Oryzias latipes: one gene and its partner. The protein of the gene in region 1 interacts with the protein of each later gene in a pairwise test. Links are inferred from orthologs where the notes say so. Each region holds a gene or a part of one and is shown on either strand. Other genes may lie near its edges.

What was found.
Region 2: the proteins of wac (region 1) and nfe2l2 interact in a two-hybrid assay, tested with the Homo sapiens proteins (2 studies listed by BioGRID and IntAct). The two-hybrid records come from large-scale screens. The link is inferred for Oryzias latipes from reciprocal best matches to the Homo sapiens genes WAC and NFE2L2.

The regions. Positions count from the first base shown.
Region 1 is NC_019878.2:7,918,881-7,929,164, reverse strand, and holds part of wac (WW domain-containing adapter protein with coiled-coil), read left to right. Parts: intron 1-3,112; coding exon 3,113-3,370; intron 3,371-4,971; coding exon 4,972-5,094; intron 5,095-6,641; coding exon 6,642-6,790; intron 6,791-7,072; coding exon 7,073-7,197; intron 7,198-10,284.
Region 2 is NC_019879.2:22,674,348-22,684,667, reverse strand, and holds the end of nfe2l2 (nuclear factor erythroid 2-related factor 2), read left to right. Parts: intron 1-2,320; coding exon 2,321-2,587; intron 2,588-2,669; coding exon 2,670-2,762; intron 2,763-2,843; coding exon 2,844-3,023; intron 3,024-3,785; coding exon 3,786-5,036; 3' UTR 5,037-5,426; downstream 5,427-10,320.

The DNA.
Region 1 (10,284 bases):
TGTGCTGCACAAAATAGTTCCCAAACAAAACATGTAGTGATATTCATCGAAATTTAACAGTTCGTGTTTGGTATTACAGAGTGAAGGAGAACAGGAATAATCCCCCAACCCCCCCAACACAAAGTCCTCCGGTGGGCGGCCGTGTCGCGCACTTAAGAAAGCGCTCAGCTTGTAATGGAAATGCATAATTAGAACGCAGTAAATTTGTCATATTTCCTCAAGAGACGGAAACTTCTGTTGTAGAATGAGGATGTGTATGTGCTTCTGAAACCGCGTGTTTTGTGTAAGTAGAGTGAGCCGCGTCCTGCGCCACTCACCTCTTGCGCTGCACGTGGCTCTAAGAGGGAGTGAGAGGCGCGGCGCAGGGAGTGAAGGAGAACATTAATAAAAGGTTTCCCCCAGAAACCCTTAAAGTCTGAGCACAGGACTAGCAGAAAAAGTAAATTATCAGCAAAGATGAATGTGTTTAGTGTGTTTATTATAGTTCCAATCACGGACCATATTCAGAACCTTCACACAAAAAAACTATCAAAAAAAAAAAAGGTGATGAGGTCATCACTCCGGTGATGCGGTTATCATCACGCCCCTATAAATGAATCATCCAACACTGAGGAAGACTTCCATGGTTTCAGTGCACAGGAGGAAGATGAAGAAAGCTCTGTGACGTTTACGTTCATTTTTTTTAAACCAGCCCTGTTGGCGCTGTGTTACGGTGTGTCACTGTTGTGGAAGAAAACTTCCAGCCCCCTCCTTCGCAGCGCTTGCCTCTGTGTTACTGCTGCTCTCAGTGACTTTTACCGGTATGTTTTTTTAACCAGCCCTGTCACTACCATATTGCTGCCGTGTCACAGGCACTGTTTGGAAAGAAAAGCTCAGGTATATTATTACAACTTTGAAAACTCCTTCTGTGTACCTTCTTTATTTGTAAATATATTACATGTTGAACCTTTCCTGCGATTACTTTTTTCTTTCTTTCTTTCTTTTCCTTTCTTTCTTTCTTTGCATTGGGTCCCATTTTTAAAACATTTGCTGTGACTCGGCCGTGGATTTGAACTTATGGCCTTCCAGTTTCAGGGGGACACTCTACTCCAAGGCTGAGCTGTCAAAAGGAAAATAAATGTTGTCCATAGCTGCTTAATTTCTTTTTTCTTTGCTTGTATTTTGCATTTGAAACCCATTTGAAATGGCATTTTGAATGTTAGACAGTCTTTCACAGACATCTGATGCATCCCTTTTGATGACAATGATATGAAAATCCTTTGCTGCATTTCACTCATGAATACCGGTACACACGTTTGGGCAATGTGAAAAGTTTAGACAAAGCAGTTTAAGGAAAACGCCCCGACTCGTTGATCTGCTTAATTAACTTGACAATCATAGTTTTTATTTGAATCTTTATTGGTGGCTCCAACAGAGCCCAGCAGCTCATCCAGGTCACAACACACCTTCACCGGGTCGTGCTGTGGAGTCGACTCAAGACTCTTGTTGCTGGGTGTTTTTCACATTAGGACACTGTGTTGTGTTTAATAGACAGTAATTTTCTTTAAAAAAAATACTCCCCGTCACAAGGCCAGGTTTTATTTGTTGCTTTTGTGATGACATTTACTTTCTGCTGCTCATGTTTAACACTAAGTTAGCATTTAAAGAGCCACTTTGATAAACAGTTGTGTTTTTGGTGTTTTTAACATGTTCTCGTGGCATTTGTCTGATGGAGGGCTTGTATAAAAAAAAAGCCTAAATTAAATTTTTGTGCATTTCTCCATCAAATTGTTGTGAATCAGGAGCAAATGTAAAAGTGCAGTTAGAAAAAGAGCGGATTTTTATGTCAACGAGCTTCATTCTTCGCTCCATCCTGATGCATCCATTGGTAAACAAATAGATCCATGAATGTCTTTGTTTTCCTCGTCTGAGCTGGAATCTGGATCAAAACTGTACGAATGGATAGCTTTGATGTTTCTCTCCACTTTTGTAGCACCGCTTTTGTTAGGTTAGTGGTTTGAAGGGCTGTAAGCTAGCATGAGAGAGAGTAAACAGTAATGGGGGGGGGGGGGGGGGTCCATGACAACAGTCCCACCCACAACTCGCATTACAACTTCTGCCCCTCTGCAGAAACTATGTCCTATAAAATGACAAGGTTTTTGTTTTTTTTGGCTGAAAACAGTATACCATAATCATACCACCAAAGACTGCCATCTACTTTAAAATAAATCAAAAGATGAGCATAGTGGGATTTTCCAAAGTGTACCTTTTTCTTTCAATATTCATAATTTTCACTGTGTAATTTTGATGTTTGCTTTTACAGCCTGAGTTTTACAGTTACCTTTCAAGCTTGTATTTTATTTAGATCTTTTTAGTAAAACTTCTTCAGATAAATTCTGCATCAGCTTCTCTATCTTCTACTTGGTTAAAGCCATCTAAAGGCCCACAGTCATTTAAAGCCTTTTTCGTTGTCTTGTGTAGTTTTCGTGATCTGTCTGATGGTATGAATAGTGTTTGAGGCCTTTAACTTTTATTGACAAACTCAGAGGAAGATTTCACCAGACCTGATTGCCCTCCTGCAAATTACAACCACTGGTCTTTTGTTTTAATGTTTTCCCAGGTTACCACAAAACTACACACTGCTTTAGATAAACAGTTATGGTGTTATGTGTTTTCACTTTATTTATTTAATTGTATTATTAGGCATAACGTGTTATGTTGTAATAGTGTACATAATTTATTACTTACTTACATTTTACTTTTTTTATATTTTTGCACATTTTTGTATTTGTATACTTGCACATTTGGGAACACCCCTCACTTTTGCACATTGCTGTCCCTTTTCTCTGCTTTTTGGAACTGCTGTGATAATTGAATTTCCCCAATGTGGGATCAATAAAGAAATATCTATCTAAAGTATCCACCTTAACACAAAAAAATCCCTAGGACAATTGAGGGTGGTTAATGTTTGAAGTGACTTAGCTCCTTTCACCTGAAAACCTAGAGGCAGCTCCTTAACATGATCAGGACACGCTGCACTTACTTTTTCCTCCCGGACTGTAGTTTTTGAACTACAATGTGAGCAAATACCTAAAATATTTATATATATGTTCTTTTTTCAAATTTTTCACAGAATCATCCCAGGCGGAGAAGCCTTCAGCAGTTCATGCCACTCAGTCATCGTCGTTGTCGTCATCAGGCTCGGGTGGCGTGAACCCGTCATCTGGGCCGCATGGATCGTCAGCTTCCACAGTGCCTGTCTCTCCGGTTCTTCAGTCGTCAACTCCTCCGTTACTGCAGGACCCCACTCTGTTTCGCCAGCTCCTCCCAGCACTTCAGACCGCACTGCAACTGAACAACGCCAGCGTGGACATGGCCAAAATCAACGAAGGTACAGAAGCTTTTAGGATCTGTAGAATTCCCTTCTCGGCGTTGATCTGTCTCCTTTAACAGCATTTATGCCCAAATCCTACCCCAGCTTGAAGTATTTAACGAATCAAATAAATCCCTTTAAGCATTTGACCAATGGGACGGATGCCTTTTATGTTAGATGCTCGCCTCCTAAGTAGACAAAGGTCATTAAGAGTGTAATTTAAGTTGTGTTGACTTTTATTTCAAATAAAATGTTGCAATGAAATGACGTTTTTGGTTGGTTTGCTATTTTTTCATGTATCGCAACTTATATCATCATTGCAATATTGATCACTAATATCGCAGATCGCGAGTTTTCCTCTTATCGTGCAGCCCTATTCTAATGGCTGTTCTTTCTTTTTTTTTTACCATCTTTGGACTAATGCGGGACAGCAAGTCCTCAGACAGAGTCTCAGAGAAGGACGTCCCACTGAAAGCGACATTCTGTACAGGGAGACTGAATGATCTCATGAACTAGAGCTGTGGATGGTTTTTATTTTATTCTTTTTTTATATATAAATTTAAAAGCGCTCTGTTAAATTTAGAACGATTGCGAATAAGCTATCATGGATGATGCTAAATATTCATCTTTGTATTTTTGGGAACAGATCACAAATATCCAAATATTCGGTTACTCGTTACAGCCGCATCATGACAGTACCAAGACATAGCAACGTTCTTTCTGACGCCTTTGTATAGCTTTAAAAAAAAACATAAATGACGTGTCCTCCATGATGTAGCGATGAGGCTATAAACTTTTGACAGTACCTCTTCCCACACGTGGCGGAAGTGTGTGTGTGAACACACTCTTGGACAACTATCAAGCAGCCAATTCAATTCCATTCCAACTGTCTGGAAAATCGAAGTTCAACCCACAGCCTTTTATTTGATTGAAATTTTAATAAGTAACTCTCCAATTTATGTCTTAAGTAATTCAGTAGTGAAATTGATTCATACTGTATGACCGGTTTTTACTTTAAATAGTTTTTAAGGTTCCCATCAGAAGCAGCAGATTTTCTCCGTGCTTCTTGTCCTCTCTGCAGATCATTGAACAGACGGCTTTGGTTGAACAGTCAGAAGCACATTTACTCGGCGCACATCCGTCATTATGGTCGTTGCCTCCACAGCTCTGCGTCTCCTTGAAGCAGCGAGGAGCTGCAGGAGTGGCTGTCATCCAGTAATTAGGCCTCTGCACACAGATCTGTAGTTTCACATTTCAGTAATTGTGAGTGGGCCGTCTGATCTCCTTGTACAGCTGTTGATGCACCTTTGCTGGCTGCCCACCTATTGGTTTTGTGTGCAAAAACCCTACTGTGACAGAATGATTGTAACACTATATAAGATAAATGTAATATTTGAGAAATCAGAGCAGTCGGATTGTTGCGTCTGCTTTATCCGTCTCCAAATGTTATTGAAGTTCTGCAGAAGCAGATTTCCAGTACCATGAAAATATAACCTTTCCAAATATTGACAGTGTTCAGGTGTTTGCTGAATCCAAGCTTGCAAACAATCATGTATTTGTAGTACCTAGACTATTTGATCTGCATGCCTAACAGCGGGTTTCCTCTTGTTTTTGTGTAGTTCTCACAGCTGCTGTCACACAAGCTTCATTACAGTCGATGCTCCACAAGATCTTCACAGCTGGACCGTCGGCGTTCAATATCACTACGATCCTTTCTCAAGCCGCTCAGCTTTCTAACCAAGGTGAGTTCAGGCTTTGGTGTTGTTGTTGTTTTAAAGACATGTTCTTGTAGCATTTTTCACATGTTTGAAGACATAGACAGAGAAAATTAAGCTTAGAATCACATTTCTGAGTAGTTCTTTATTCAAATTGTCGTGTATTAAGCAGATGGTAAAAAAAAGCTTGTAGTTGTGACGTAGCTCCCTGCTCTGCTCCATTCTGATTCATCCACTTGTAGTGGACTACATCCATGAACGTCTCTGTTTCCTCTTCTGAGCTGGAATCTGGTTCCGAACTGTGCGCCTGGATAGCTCTGAGATTGCTCACCGTTTTTGTTGCACTGCTTATGTTGGGTTGAGGTGTGAGAGGCTGTAAGCTAGTGGAAGAGAGAGTAAACGGATGGGTGACAGGAAGTGGAGGGGGGGGGGCTTACTCCACACCAGCAGATCCACTCCACAACCCAGAGGTGAAATTCTAATTAACTACTGCTGCTCTGCAGAAACTATGTCCTGGAAAATGACACAGGTTGTTTGATTTTTCTCCTAAAATGACATAATCATAATTAAAAGACCACCGGGGACGATTTTACAGTAGATCAAAAGATGCTTAGAGTGGGAGTTGATGAATTTTAGTTTTAATTTACATAATTTACATGTGACAACATGAACACAGAATACACTTTATACAATGACTTTAACACACAGACTGATACAGTCATGCAAGACAAAATAAGACGTTATAAAGTACTGTTTATTCAAACAACAAAAATACAGGAAGGGCTCCTGTTAGTTTAAGGTGCATGTGGGTGTGCTGGTTCAAACACTTCTAAAGCTCTAAAGCCTTAGTCACAACTGCCCTGGCAGGTGGATTAGAGCATCACATGCAAGTGAGTGCAACTTACATTGTCCTTATAAATACTTCACAAAATACTTCCAACACGTACAACAGGAGTATGTTCCATTTTCATGGCGTCTCATTTAAGATGGTTACCCTGAGGCAACTGCAAGACACACCTGTGCTCCTCTAAAGATGCAGCCGCTCCTTTCCACGACCCTCCAATGGCCCAGTCAACCCAAAAACGCACAGCACCGTACGGGTCAACCCCCGCATTCTTAAAGGGTTTCTTATTTAAGAAAAGTGGCTCTGTGTCTAACCATCTCAGAGCAAAAGTGCAGCTTCTCAACCTGACTCCACAACAGATCTAGTGCCACTTTCGTGGGTTTTGGTTTTTAAACTAATAACTCAATTATATTTTGTAAAGTTACTCCACTGGTTACAGAGTAGGGCTATACCATAAAGTACTTATAAATGGGGGGAACAAATCATACAGTGTAGGTAGGACTTAGCAGCCCCGATGGAAATGAAAGGCCTGATTTGTTCCAAGTTTTTATGTTAAATGTCATTTTGCGTTTGTGACCTTCTTAATGACTTAAATAATCAGGTTTGGAGTCCAACTGAAAATACAGCAGACCTCATTTTGGAGTTATTGTATTTACTTTGTTCAATTAAAAAACTTACGCAACAACTGATGAGATAAAAGTCTGAATTTATTTTCTACACTCCTCAACAGGCCAGCAGTCAAATCAGTCACCAATGTCTTTAACATCAGACGCCTCATCACCAAGATCCTACGTTTCCCCGAGAATCAGCACGCCGCAGACCAACGCCGGCCCCCACAAACCCCTCCTCAGCACGCAGCCTGTCATCTCACAGTCAAAGGTAAGACACTGCCACCTCTCAACCAGACTGCACTCTTGTCTGACAACCAGTAAAGTCAGGTCATCTCATTTACAACCAAAGATGAGCAAAGATATGACACAGCCTCATGCCAGCTGGGTGATAGTTGACATTTCTGCAGGTTTTTGCTGCTTGATGGAATCTGTCTTGTAAGGTTTCCCAACAATGAAACATGTCATTTCTGGTCTCTGGGATTCTTGGTTTATGTGAATACGTTGACAGAGAAATTGCGGTTTTTGCGCTGATGCAGAGCTTGCGTTTCAGGTGAATACACCAGCAGTAAAGCAGACGTCTCATTCCCAGCCCACATCCCAGCAGCACCTCTCCAGTGAGAAGTCGCACAGTCACGATGTCACCACGGCCTCCCCGAGAGCCCTCCAACGCCAAGGGTGAGTCCAAACCAGAAGCACTGACATCCTATGACCAAAAATAGGCATCTCTATCAATCTGTTTATGTTTAATTGGATGTAGTTGGTTTATAAATCATCCATTTTCCTCCTTATTATTATTTTAAAGCTGTGAACTACATTTTAATCATCTAAAATATATTATACTTTACCTGGAAATCATTGTAGCCATCCACACCTGAAATCACAGCTTATCTTAAATGAGCAATCAGATGTTTTATTTGGAGTCTTTTGGCACCATCTGCTGGTCATTAGTGGAACTGATTCATTCATAAAGGTCATTTACTGCTGTTCTTTTTTGCTCTCTAGTGCAGTGTTTTTCAACCAGTGTGCCGCGGCACACTAGTGTGCCGTGGGAGATGGTCAAGTGTGCCGTGGAGAAATTGCCCTCATTAATCATTCACTGATCTAAAAACATTTCCCATCTCCAGGATATCAGCTCTTTGTTCATCCAAACAGGCCCTGATAAAACACTGAGTAGTTAGGAATATGAAAGATCTTAAAATTACTTTTTCTTTGTGTTTATTTAATTCTATTAAAGACATTTTGATAAGGATTACGTTACCGCGATTTACCTGCAGCTACTTGATCGCTGTCGATCAATACAGACCATGAATTTCTGTTTTTTTTTTTTTTTTTTTGGATGCTGGTGTGCCGCGGGATTTTTGTCAAGGTTAAAGTGTGCCGTGGCTCAAAAAAGGTTGAAAAACACTGCTCTAGTGAATCAATGACCAGGGCTCCAGACTAACTTTTTTCACTAGGAGCACAGTGGCCCCTAACTGAAAATTTTAGGGGCACAACCAGACAATTTAGGGGCGCATACCGTAAATCAACATGCTAACCAGATCTACTAATTTCCACTGTATTACTAATAAATACTTTAATAATAGATGCAGAAATTACAATATGCTGTTTGAAATTCAGTGTCACATTTTAATCTGCACTTTTGAAGATGCAACAACAAGGTAAACTGACAGCACCATCGCTGTCATGACAGTACAAATAGTTAAGAAAACGGATGGAAATTTATCTTTGTGACACCAAATAGGTGCAGCCAAGATGCACAATAAGCGTGTTTGAGATCACCCAGGTGAACTCAACGCTGCGCAGATCACCTGGTGTGTGACATATTTTTGTTTTTGCTCCAACATCAACTGTCAATCATCACAAAAATATCGCGAGAAAGGGGTGGGAGCAAGGGGCAAACCTACCCGGACACAGCTGGAAACTGAACTGACTGAAAGCTGCCCTACAGACTACAAAACAATGCATTATGGGACATGTGTCCTGATGGTTTTTGTAGTGGAGTGATTAATTAAAATAATTTAAAATACCAATTCATTAAAAAAGGCTACATACATTACAAAACCTTAAAATAATCATAAAATATATAATAACACAGACCCCCCCCCCGCCTGGTCTCCCCAACGATCCAGGCGAGGTGCCGGTTCATCTCAAACACGTCTATCGTTGCATTTTCCCCACGTATTTTCAGTGTGTCTAAAACTAATGTTGTTTTTGCTCGCACGTGTTTAAAGTTCAAGCCCCGTTAGCCGTCACGCATGTAGGTGTGGGACATTTATTCTCCTCAGCTGACCCGACCCCCGCGGGAGCGGTGTGCTGCCGTAACGGCCGTGCATAAACCGTTTGATGCGCCGCCGTAACCGTAACCAAAACCTAAACCTTCCTCCGGGTCTGTGCGGCCCAGAGAAAAGTTCAGCACGGACTGCATGTATTTAGAAAATCACGAGCGAATAAATACGTTCTAAAGGAAAGTAAGGAACTCCTTAATGTGGTCCGGGGAGGGGGCTGTCAGGTTTCCTGCTTTCAAACCCTGTCATTGCCACGCCCCCCAAGAGTCATATACCCCACTGTGATTGGTTGGTCAGCTTCGCGCACGACAATGAAAAAGTGTCATTCATACAAACTGGCGGGCTGCAGTAACATTAAACCTTCATATTAAGGCGGGGACCGCAAAATATCATCTTGGGGGCCGCAAATAGCCCGCGGGCCGCGAGTTTGAGACCCCTGCTGTACACTCTGGCACTGGTACACTAGCCGCAGGTCGGAAGAACGAATCAATAGTTCGCTTACTCATAGCAGCTCAGACGCACATATCAGGTTGTGATGATATTTGTCTCCGTTTCCTTCCCACAGATGTTTACGCGCGCTCGATTATCTCTAGGCCCCTCCCCCTACACGCATTTCAGCCACTCACAGTGGCTTTCCCTATTCTTCTCACACGCAGTGGCCGCCTCACAGACAGGTATCACGCGAGAGTATACGTGCTCGCGTTTCATGAGTATGTGCGCGAGTATGTGCGCCTGCCTGCGTCCGTGTGCGCTTGCCTGCGTGCGTGTGCGCTCGCGTCTCATTGATTATTTCATTGATCATTGACGTGCCCCTTCCACGTCAATGACCACCCTTCGTAAAAAATACGAAGGGTGGGGGAGGCAAATTTACTGGTCACGCATGTGCGACTGGATGTAAAATTCAGTCGCACACTCTCAAATTTTGGTCGCAAAATGCGACCAATTGCTCGCAGTCTGGAGCCCTGATGACGTAAGATTTATTGTAAACAAGAGAAACAATGGAGGGTTACAGTAGTTTCATTGAAAGGAAGGATAAATATCTTTTTAATCCAGTTTTATTAGATGACACTTCAACTGAAATGGTTTGTTCAGACCTTTTTTTCCTTATTTTTGAAGATATTGCTGGTTTGAAGCAGTTGAAGAATTGATAAATAAATCTCTTCCAGTTTAAATTGTAACCAGTGATTGTAAATTTAATAATGCTGCACAACTTGCAGTGCATGTTACTCTGCTTATGTACGGATTTTAAATACCGGTAACTGTAATACCTCCACACACTGGGGCAAAATGTAATTTTTATGTAACCGACCAAGTTGACTGTATTATAAAAAAAACGTATATTTTTAACAAATTGTAACACTATTTTACACAGACTATTCGGAATATTTTTAAGGAAATGAAAATGCATAAAAGTAATTTATTAATGCTGTAAACACGTCTTTTTCATCTAACTGTAAACTTTAATTCAAACATGCTG
Region 2 (10,320 bases), on another chromosome or scaffold:
ATTCCGTGTCTAATGCAGTGAAGTCTTTTATAACCAATGTGAAACTGTTAGAGTAGCGATTTGCTTGTATCTTCCTTAAAACATAACATTAGCATCTGCTTTCGCTCTTCCCCTTTTTGGTGTCACATGATATAGAACCACAGCTTGAGGTCGCTCGTGTTTTTTTCATGTAAATATAAATTAAGCTAATAATATCAAGGAATTGAGGTTAGCTTAATTTTTTGTTGTTGCTGTGTTTGGTTTAACGTTCCCCCGAAATGACTAAGTTTAGCTATGTTTTAGGTTCTTCAAAAGTTGTGTCGTTACTGTCTGTCTGGTTTTCCATACAAATACAAATTAAGCTAATAATAATCAATATAGGAATTAAGTTAGTTTACGTAATATCCGCTGCTTTTGGTTCAACGCCCCCCTGAAAGACTCATTCAGCCATGTTTTAAGTTTTGTAAAAGCTGTGTGTCGTCATTGCCAGAACATAATGTTATAAGTTTGTGTAATATAAACACAAGTTCCCTTTTACTCGACTTTGTTTACATTAAAGTAGGCATACATTGCAGGAGTTATCAATGATTTCGGTTGGTCTTGGTACATTCCGTTTCTATTTTAGAAGTAGTACATGATGGTTGTGTTGGTTTAGCTGCTCACCGCCTGCGTATTATCTGGGAAATTTGAGAATGTTCCCGTGTTAAGCTTCCTTGTTCACGTGCCAGTCAGACTGTGGTGAATCAAGGTCACGGTGTCGGAAGAAAAAAACAAAACAAAACAAAGAAATGCACACACCAACTGTTTGTCTGCTTAATCTATACCATCTAAAGATTTTTAAGATGTTATTATATGTAGTCCTTCTGAATCTACAGTTGGTTTTTGGAAAAATGAATTGTGTTGAACGCTTGATTGTATTTTTACATTGTATTTATTGGATTTTTAAGAAAGCTGTCAAACTGGTTTCAGAATGTGCTTCTTTTCTAGTCGTTTTTTTTTTCCCTTTTCTTTAATTCAGGTGTGGTCACAACAGTGTTAGGGGGTCTGCAGCATTTTAGGGAACTTCCTCATTCCTATAGCCACCATAATTCCTGGTTTTGGGCTTCTACACTCTTTGCCATGATTTATGCTCACCAGCCTTAGTAATGAGTAATGCTTTAATGGTCCAGCTTCTGATGCAACACTCAAGCACAGACTTAGTGGGTTCTTATTTTGCTTTGCCGCTGTCTCAAAGTCTGTGTCAACAGTGACCAAAATATTTTCCCGTTTGTTAATGATTATTTATGCTGCATGTCTTTTCTTTTAGGTAAAAAAAAGAGAATTGTTGATATTGTTCAGTGCAGTTTCACAGCCTGTTAGTGGATTGTTTTAATGTCTGCTTTTTGTTCCTTTTTTCTAGTTTTTTTTGGTTGTTTCAGTCTGCGAAAACCACAAAACAGAATATTATAAAGCTCATATGCTACTTTCATAGGAATTTGGGGGAGAAAAAAAAAGTCATATGGTCTGGTGGTTTTTTTCTGTGGAAGAGTATCTTGGGTTTATGCAATATCCTGAGGCCTTATGAAATAGTTTTCTTCTGTAAATAAATTATGGTGAAAAAAAATCCCTAAGAGCGTAGCATAATTTGTCTTTAAGAGTGTTGTTTGAAAGTTAAGTAACATTTGAGTCTGTGAGAGCAATTTGAAAGGAAATGGTTAGAAAACATTTTCATGCTTATTTCTATGTAAACCCAGAATTCAAAATGGACTTTTGTTTTGCAAACTTGTCCAGAGATTACCGTAGCTGTCCACAGACATGGATGGAACAAAGTTTATATCATGTCTAACGTTCAACCCTTACACTCCTGCAATGTTTACCCTAAACTTTATGAAGTTATTTGTGTAACATTTTTTCTTTCCAGATCATGCTATACATGTACGATCACTCATTCTTATTCTTATCTTATAAAGGCTACCAAATAAAAGCACTTGAGGCTAGTTTACCAGAGTGAAATTTAATCTGATCATTGAGACCTTACCTGACTGTCCGGGAGATTAAACGAGACAAAAGAATTCACACTTTGGAGTAATGAGATGGGTATACGTGTCAAATTGGGATTCTGCTTGTGTGTGGCGGCAACAAGGGAAACAGAGAAGCATGTTTATTATTCATAGCCATTCTCCCTCGTGACATTAACTCCAGTGTTGCTGTGAGCGAACAGATACGGAGGGGACAGGGTGTGGCAGGTGCAAAAGCCATGTTTCACAGCAGGGACAATAATTCTCCTTTCAGCACTAAGCGTATTCTCTCTGCAGGAGTGCACAATGGCTTCCAACTCTTTTGTTTGCGGTTGTTTTTTCAGGACCTGGACTTGATTGACATACTTTGGAAGCAGGACATCGACCTCGGTGCCAGGCGAGAGGTTTTCGACTACAACCATCGGCAGAAGGAGCACGAGCTGCAGCGGCAGCGCCAGTTGGAGGAAGAAAAGAAGCTGCATTTGCTGCGGGAGCAAGAGAAGGCCCTGCTGGCGCAGCTGAAGCTAGATGAAGAGACTGGAGAGTACATACCTCACACAAAACCCATCCTCCCTCCGCAGCAGGCTGTCGTATCCATCGAAATTTCTCAGGTACAGGCACATTGTAATATTATTTGTGTCAGAGGTGGGCCACTCCCTCTTCATTCAATGGGCTCTGCTTGGATGATTGCAGGATGCTAACTTCACTGAGGAGACTGGAGATGGCATGTCATTTGACGAATGTTTGCAACTGCTGGCAGAGACATTTCCTGTAGGGGAAACTGAGGTAAGAGTTTCATCTCTAATTGCCACAAATTCACAGCCTATGGTATGACTTCTGGTTTACAAATGTATGTTTGCCGCGCAGAATCCTTCAGTTTGCATGGAGCTGCCTCCTGTCTCGGTGTACCCCAGTGGCACCATGATGCCCTCTGAACAGCCGGCCCTGTCCCCCGCTGTCCTCCCAAACCCGCTGACTCCTCCACAAAGAGTTACCCCCGATCTGGAGGAGGCCTGGATGGAGATTCTGTCCCTCCCAGAGCTTCAGGTATAATTCCCATTTTTGTTTGGAACAAATATTCAAATGAACAAAAGGAGGCTTGGGCTAAATTATTTGTGAGAGATGCAAATAAATAGAAAATGTCTCTGCTCATTTTCTTACAGAATATTTTTATTGCTTTGGCAGTTGAAAGCATTAAAAACATTACACGTTCACAGTTTGGTGCTGTGACCTTAAAGTTGCAGAACTGGTAGGCGTGTAGTTCGGGGAAGGTGCGGCACTAATGATGCTTATGCTAACTGGGTAAAAGGTGTAGACATTTTTTTTTTGTCTCTTTCCGGTAGCTACACCTCATATTTGCATTAGCCAAAGGGCGGAGTTTAGTCGTGTTACTTGCCTAGTCCTGTCCCTCTGTGCACTAGATTACAATGATAACCATGAGGCTTAACATGATTGGGCAAGCTGCTAAAACTAGCTCAGAAGCAAAAAATGGATGTTTGGAATTGTTGTACGAAAGGTTCAAAAAGCATGGAAACTATGTTCCCATGTTTTAGGATTATCCATTTACATCATTAGGTGTGAACTAGCTCCATATGTGCTATTGGTACAACACCACTCAAATGGAGCAGCTCTTGATTTCAAGCCTGGGCTTCTCTGATTTAGAACCAATTTCTGCCAATAGATGTTTAGATTTTAATGCTGTCTACCTACATAATTCTAAAACCATTTAAAATTAATGAGCCTTATGGAAACTGTGCCCTTATTATTTTTTTCTCCCCCTAAACTTTGTGTCTTTTTATCTTCCAACAGTGTTTCAAAATGCAAGTGGATGAAACAATGGAGGCCACAAATTTTCCGATTCAGACCAGTCCTCAAGTGCAGAATCCAAGTTACCCAAACAACCAGTTGTTCCCAAATACTCCTTACTACCCTATGCCCAGTGCCTCAGATTTAAAAACAAAAAATTTAAATGTTGGTCCCGGAGAATTCATGAATACTTGTGATGGCCCTGTTCCCAGTATGGCTCCATCTGACATCAGCCAGATAAATGTGGAAGACCCTCAGGTGAATCCAAACTTTACCCCAGACAGCTTTTGTTCCAGTGTCTTTTATCCTGACACCATCGTGGAAGAGAGCAGCAGTCAGCATGGCCACGAGGAAAGTGAAAATGTGTCCGAGATACCAAGCAAGCCCTCGTTTACGCCCATGGACCTGTACACCCTTTCACCTGAAGATGTGTTTGACAGAAGCAAACGGCTGCCAGCAGATTTCCCAGATTCAGATTCAGGAATTTCGACTCACTCCAGTCCTTATTCCAGCTCCCCCAGCAAATCTGCTTATGGAGGGGGCTCCTATAATTTTAGTGATTCCGAAATGGACGACCTGGACCACAACCCCGGCAGTGCTGAGTCTGACTACTCGGAGATGTTCAGCTTGAATTTCCAACCCGAGGATCTTGAACTAGCAAAACCAGAGTCGGAACAGACTGGGCAGTGCAAGCAGCTCGACAAGAAACCAAAGCAACATATGGAAGATCCGGCTGAAGAGAGTGGTCACAGCGGCACACCGTTCACCAAAGACAAACCAAAGAAACGCTCCGATGTGCGTCTCTCTCGAGATGAGCAGAGGGCGAAGGCCCTTAAAATCCCCTTCACAGTCAGCATGATCATCAACCTGCCCGTCGATGACTTTAACGAGATGATGTCAAAGCACGAGCTGAACGAGGCCCAGCTGGCCCTGGTCCGCGACATTCGTCGCCGTGGCAAGAACAAGGTAGCCGCTCAAAACTGCCGCAAACGCAAGATGGAGAACATAGTGGGTCTGGAGCATGAACTGGACTTGCTAAAGGAAGAAAAAGAGCGTCTGCTGGACGAGAAGAGTAAAAACGCCACAAACCTGAAGGAAATGAAGCGACAGCTTAACAGCTTGTACCTGGAGGTCTTTGGCAAGTTGAGGGATGAGAAGGGGAATTCATACTCCCCGTCGGAGTACTCCCTGCAGCAGTCCACAGACGGCAGCATCTTTCTCGTCCCTCGCATGAAAAAGACTTTTAAGATCTAGGAAAGCCACTTTTCGCCTTTGTAATAGTGTATTTCAGCACCATAGAAACTATGCAATAACTTTGTAGTAGCTCAGCTTTAAGGTGTGGCAGCCTGGTGGAAGCATTCATTCGTTTTTGCTAACGTCTCATGAATGTTGTAATATTTTTGATATTTTACTTATTTTATACTCCAATATTGTCACAGTCTCTATAAACAATATTTTGTAAATATTAAGCCTCACCTGCTATTGAGATTCCTAAGAATGTCCTGTGCGTGTATATATTGTATATATATCATATTTCCGTATGCCTGTGATTCTGTCAGTTACTTTTTATAACTCATCTAATTTGCTGTCCAGTTAATTTAAATTCTTTCTTCTATGCTTTTAAATAAACAATTTAAAAACCTAGTGATTGAAATGTTTTTTTGTTCCAGCACACCATTCAAGCAGAGCCCATCAAATAAAAAAGCAAAGGGAGGGATCTGCAGCCTTTACAGAGATTACATAACAAACCAGATATTGGAGCCAAGTTAGATGAAAAGCTTTAGAAAGGGGCTTGGGAAGCAAACATGCTGCAGGATTTATCATCCATTACCTGCTTTCTATTAAAGCAAACATGGTTGCATAGTAACTTTAATATCGTTGACTCCCTTTAAAATAAATACATTTTGTGTGGTTGCATAACCAAATGCACAGAATATGGTAGCAAAGGCTAACACCGTCATGATCCGTGTGGCTTTCACTATACATGAACTCTCACACACAGGCACTGTCTCACCTTTGATCACCAAAACCATTCCCACTAAGTTAAACAGGTGAAAGGGTTTGATGCACCGTGATGAAATCAAAGTGACAAAACACCTCATTGACAGTTTTATTTCACAAACTCGATTTATTGCACAACAGATATTTGCAGATCGTCAATGAAAGGAGACCATAAAAAAAAAAAAAAGTTTTCTAAAATAAAAGGACATAAAACGTGTTCTACAAAAATAGTTTCAATTTAATGAAGCACCAACGCATTGAATAGAAATCAACAAATTAACCAGAGCTTAAATAGTAAATGGCGTTATACACAGTAACTTTATAACAGAGACCAATGCTCGCCATGTTTTTCTGCCTCAGTACTTCTTCCCTTTATGGCCGTTATCTGGTTTCTGCAGACCTTAGTGATGAGCTAAATCAATGTGATTAGAAATAAAAATGCAGAAAACACCACTGAATAATGGTACTTTTACTATTAGTAGTATACCATATATTAGTTTTAGCTTGAAAATTATATATTTTTTCCATATATACCTAGTGTTCATGATTTCATTTTGTTCTGTTGATGCATGTTTAAGCATCTCATGTCTGCATAGGAACAGTTTATTTCTTGGTTTTGTTTAAAAAGTGGTATTAAAAATGGTATTAAAATGATCTATTTTATTTGTTGGGATAAAATGCAGTAGAAACACATTATTGCCTTTCTAAACATAGAAAATGTCCTTTTTTTGGGTTCTCTGATTTTATTCCTGCAACAAACCTGCAAATGTTGAAACAGCAAAAGCTTTCAGATATTAAAATACATATTTCAGTAGGACTATATACACAGACGGTGCTGTGCATCAACCTTCTAGCTATTGTGACCAATGTGGTTGTTCTTGATGCCAAAGCTGTTCATAAAGTATGTTAGGGTAATACAAATTTTTTCTTTTCCACAGAAAAAAGTGATCTGTGTATTGATTTCAATATTTGAACGTTTAAAGAAAAGTGAATGTCGCTGTATAGGTGATATTCACATTTGATTTCGTTTTGTGTTCTATATTGGAGAGACACAAACATAGACTTTTGACAAAATGTCACACTTGATCCGTTTTAAAATGTTTTGGACCTATTTTAAACATTTTTATTGTTAGTTTTTTTTTTTAGAAGTAAAACATCTCAAAGCTGTTCATCTCATTCATTTCCATTTTATTTTAAAAAAATCATATACACAAGAACAAATGTGGCTGGAAAATTCTGAAAATAAATACAAATCTAATCAAAATCAGCTAATTAAAAAAAAACAGACATGGGCTTTTATAAAACAAAATCTAAACTAATGAAACAGGCCTGGACAAAAACAACTGTACCGCTTAAGGATCAACACAATTTTTCATTTGAGCATGATTAATTTAGCTGTGTCTGAATAGTATTATAGTTGTCTAACATTCAGATCGTCTGAAAGGTGACAATTAGTCACTGTGTTGATCCATTGATTAAGAATTAGTTATCTTTAGGAGATTTAAAATAAAAATAGTAAAAAATGAACAAAAAAAGAATTTCAAAACAAGCACGTAAAGACTAAACTGGCCTAAAAAAAGATAGTAAAAAAAAGATAATGTAGTTAAGGAACTGAGAACAACCTCCAAAACCAAAAAAAGACAAAGCACAAGTTTTTCCAAAGTGGACCTTTTAAGAGAAGACCAAGAAGAGGAAATTTAATAAAAAATAAAATCATGATGAAAGAAAAACAAAACAAACAAAAAAGAAAAGATTGCCACAACATACATTTTAGGGAGAAGTTTTTTTCTTTCTTTTAGAAGGACTAGATTTCTGGTGATCAGCTCCAGAATCACAAAGCATTCCAGCTAAAGGAGACAGTCAGATGTAAAACACGGTGGAGGCTTGTCTATGATCTTTGTTACATCTGGCACAAGGTGTCCCAATTCTGTGCAAAGAAGATTGTTCAATGACATTCCAAGACTATCCAGGCATTCTGGATTAAGATAAGTTACAGAAACATGGAGCTATCCTTCCAGCCAGAGAACTGGTTCTCCTTGTGATGGAGGTGGACAAAAAAAATAACCCTTATGTAACAAACTCGTGTTTGATGCCAACATTTTTGCCCAGGTCTGTTTCTTTAGTTTAACCTTAAAGTAACCTTTTTTTACTTCCAAATTTAAGATTTTATTTCAGATCGGAAGCCACGATTACACCGCCCTGGGCAATGCACGTTCAAGTGGCCACTTTCAATGAAAAGTCTGTATAAATGAGCGTTATGGACTTCTTCTGCGTTCAAAACTTTTGCATTCACACGTAGATACGCAAATTTCTACGATCGCTTTCCAACTCAGCGCACAAAATGCACAGTCCTTGAATGTGTTTGAAAGTTAAACCAGGATGAACTGTGTCCAATCAGGGACTCTGATTTGGTAGTGAGGCATGGATGGCGTCTTTTAATTAATTGAATGGCCAATTGTTTGAAAATTGATCATGGAGAAAAAATTATCAAGTGCGGTCTGTGACTGGCTGGAATTCTATAACACCAAGTCTTTCATGCATCGGAATAGAGCTGTGAAAGAAAAATCCTGGAGCAAGATTGGCGAGATTTGCGGCGCTTTGACATTTCGCATGAAGACTCTACCCACCGTGGCAGACATGAGTTAGTAAACAGTAGGAAAAGAAGAAGCCCCTCCCTGCTTATCCAGTGTGAACACCATGGGCGCACTTTTGAACACACGTCACACGCCCGGTGTCTCCATGGCTGAAGACAGTCTCATCTTCTCAGACCTGCATGTTTAGTGTCAGCTAAATATATATTTATGTCCAGGTTTTTAGATTCATATCTTCTTGGTCAGTTACCTTTGTACAGAATGTTTCTAAATCACCTTTGAAAATTGAAATTGAAAATTTGGTCATTCAAAGAACCTGAATGACGACTTAAGAACCCTCCCATTCTCACCTTAAGTCTATTTCCCTGTACGCCTTACCACACAGTACATAATCAACATTCAACCTTGAAAAATATTTACAAAAAAAAAAAAAAAAAGTCTTACCCATCCAGAACTTTCCAAGTTATCAGGTCTTTACAGATTTTCGGCAAGAAGAGAATGCCCAAATCCACATCTGTAAATCAAGCAAAGTGGTTACTCTTACCTGATCCATCTTCTCAAGTCAGCTTTTGTGAAATATTGGCTCCCTTTTCTTGTTCAATGTCTGACATCTAGTATTTGCAGGTTAAACTGCTGTATCTCACTAAACAGGATCTTCAGTGAGTCCAGGACCTAGTCTTTCTTGGCGAGAACCAGCTGCTGGAGTTTAGCTAGCCTTGGAAAAAGACAGATGCTCACTACCAGGCATGACACTGCAAACTTCCTTCCATGGCCGTTGCGCTCGATGCTGCCTTCTCCCTTCTCTCTCAAAATGCTGACTGGTCCACTGTGCTGGGGCTGAAGTCGTCCTGTCTGATTGTCATCCTCCACACTAGCGACGCTGAGGGCCAAACTGCAGGAGCTTGTGGTTCTCATACTCCTACCTTCTCAACACTGGCAAAGCTGCACTCGGGGCCCTTCCCTGGAACTATTCAAACCTCCCTTTTAAAATGGCGACGGTATCCGTGAAAGCACAGAATATTGCACATATGAACAGACACCATCATGTTTTTCATAACAATCCCAAATTTGGGACAAGTCAGAAAAGGCTGATATGCTAACCACAGTCACAATGAGCATGCATGCTTTTTTTCCGAACCAATGATGCACTGAATCTTGTGTTACTTTACTAAACAACTTTATTCAGTCGTTTCTTTCACTAACCAAAAATACGGGAACAATCTGGAATCTGTTTCAATGGAAGAAATGAGAAGTGCGGGATTCCCTTAGTTCTAATCTAAGCTGTTTATTTCTGTTGACACTGACACTATGAAAAAGTTACACACTGTGCTTTTACATACAAATCAATACACACTTGACACTTGCAATTCGGAAATAATAAATTAGGAGGGAAGAAACAACTACTTCTGGCTTTTGAAGGGCCTTTTATAACTATGCTATCTGACAGTTGCTAAGATCAAAAATGTATGTTTAACTGGTCATTATGATAAAACTAACCAATATAAAAAATTTAAACAAAAATATGTAGGACTTAAAAAAAGAAAGAAAAGAAAGAAAATTTACCCCTGATCCAATAGGCACAATACACACAATTCAGACACAGAAAGGAAAACTTCCTCATTAGGTTCACATCTAGGAGAAATAGGAAAGGACATCGTCTGCACTCATGTCTTGTTCATACAGTCCTCCTTCCATACACTTCTTGGATAAGCTGCAGTAATGTCTGACTTCTGTGTTCCTCTACTGCTTTCAGATGACTGCCTCAAAGTAACCTGCAGCTTTCCTGACAACTCCTTTGCTCACCTCCTCGCCTCTCCTGCTAAGAACTGAAGCCTGTTGAATGGATACAGGATAAGACAAATAGTTAATCTGCACTTTCATGGGCTCACTCTGAACTGTGCTTCGAGGCTGCTGCCAGACTGAACGCTACTTACCAAAACAACCAA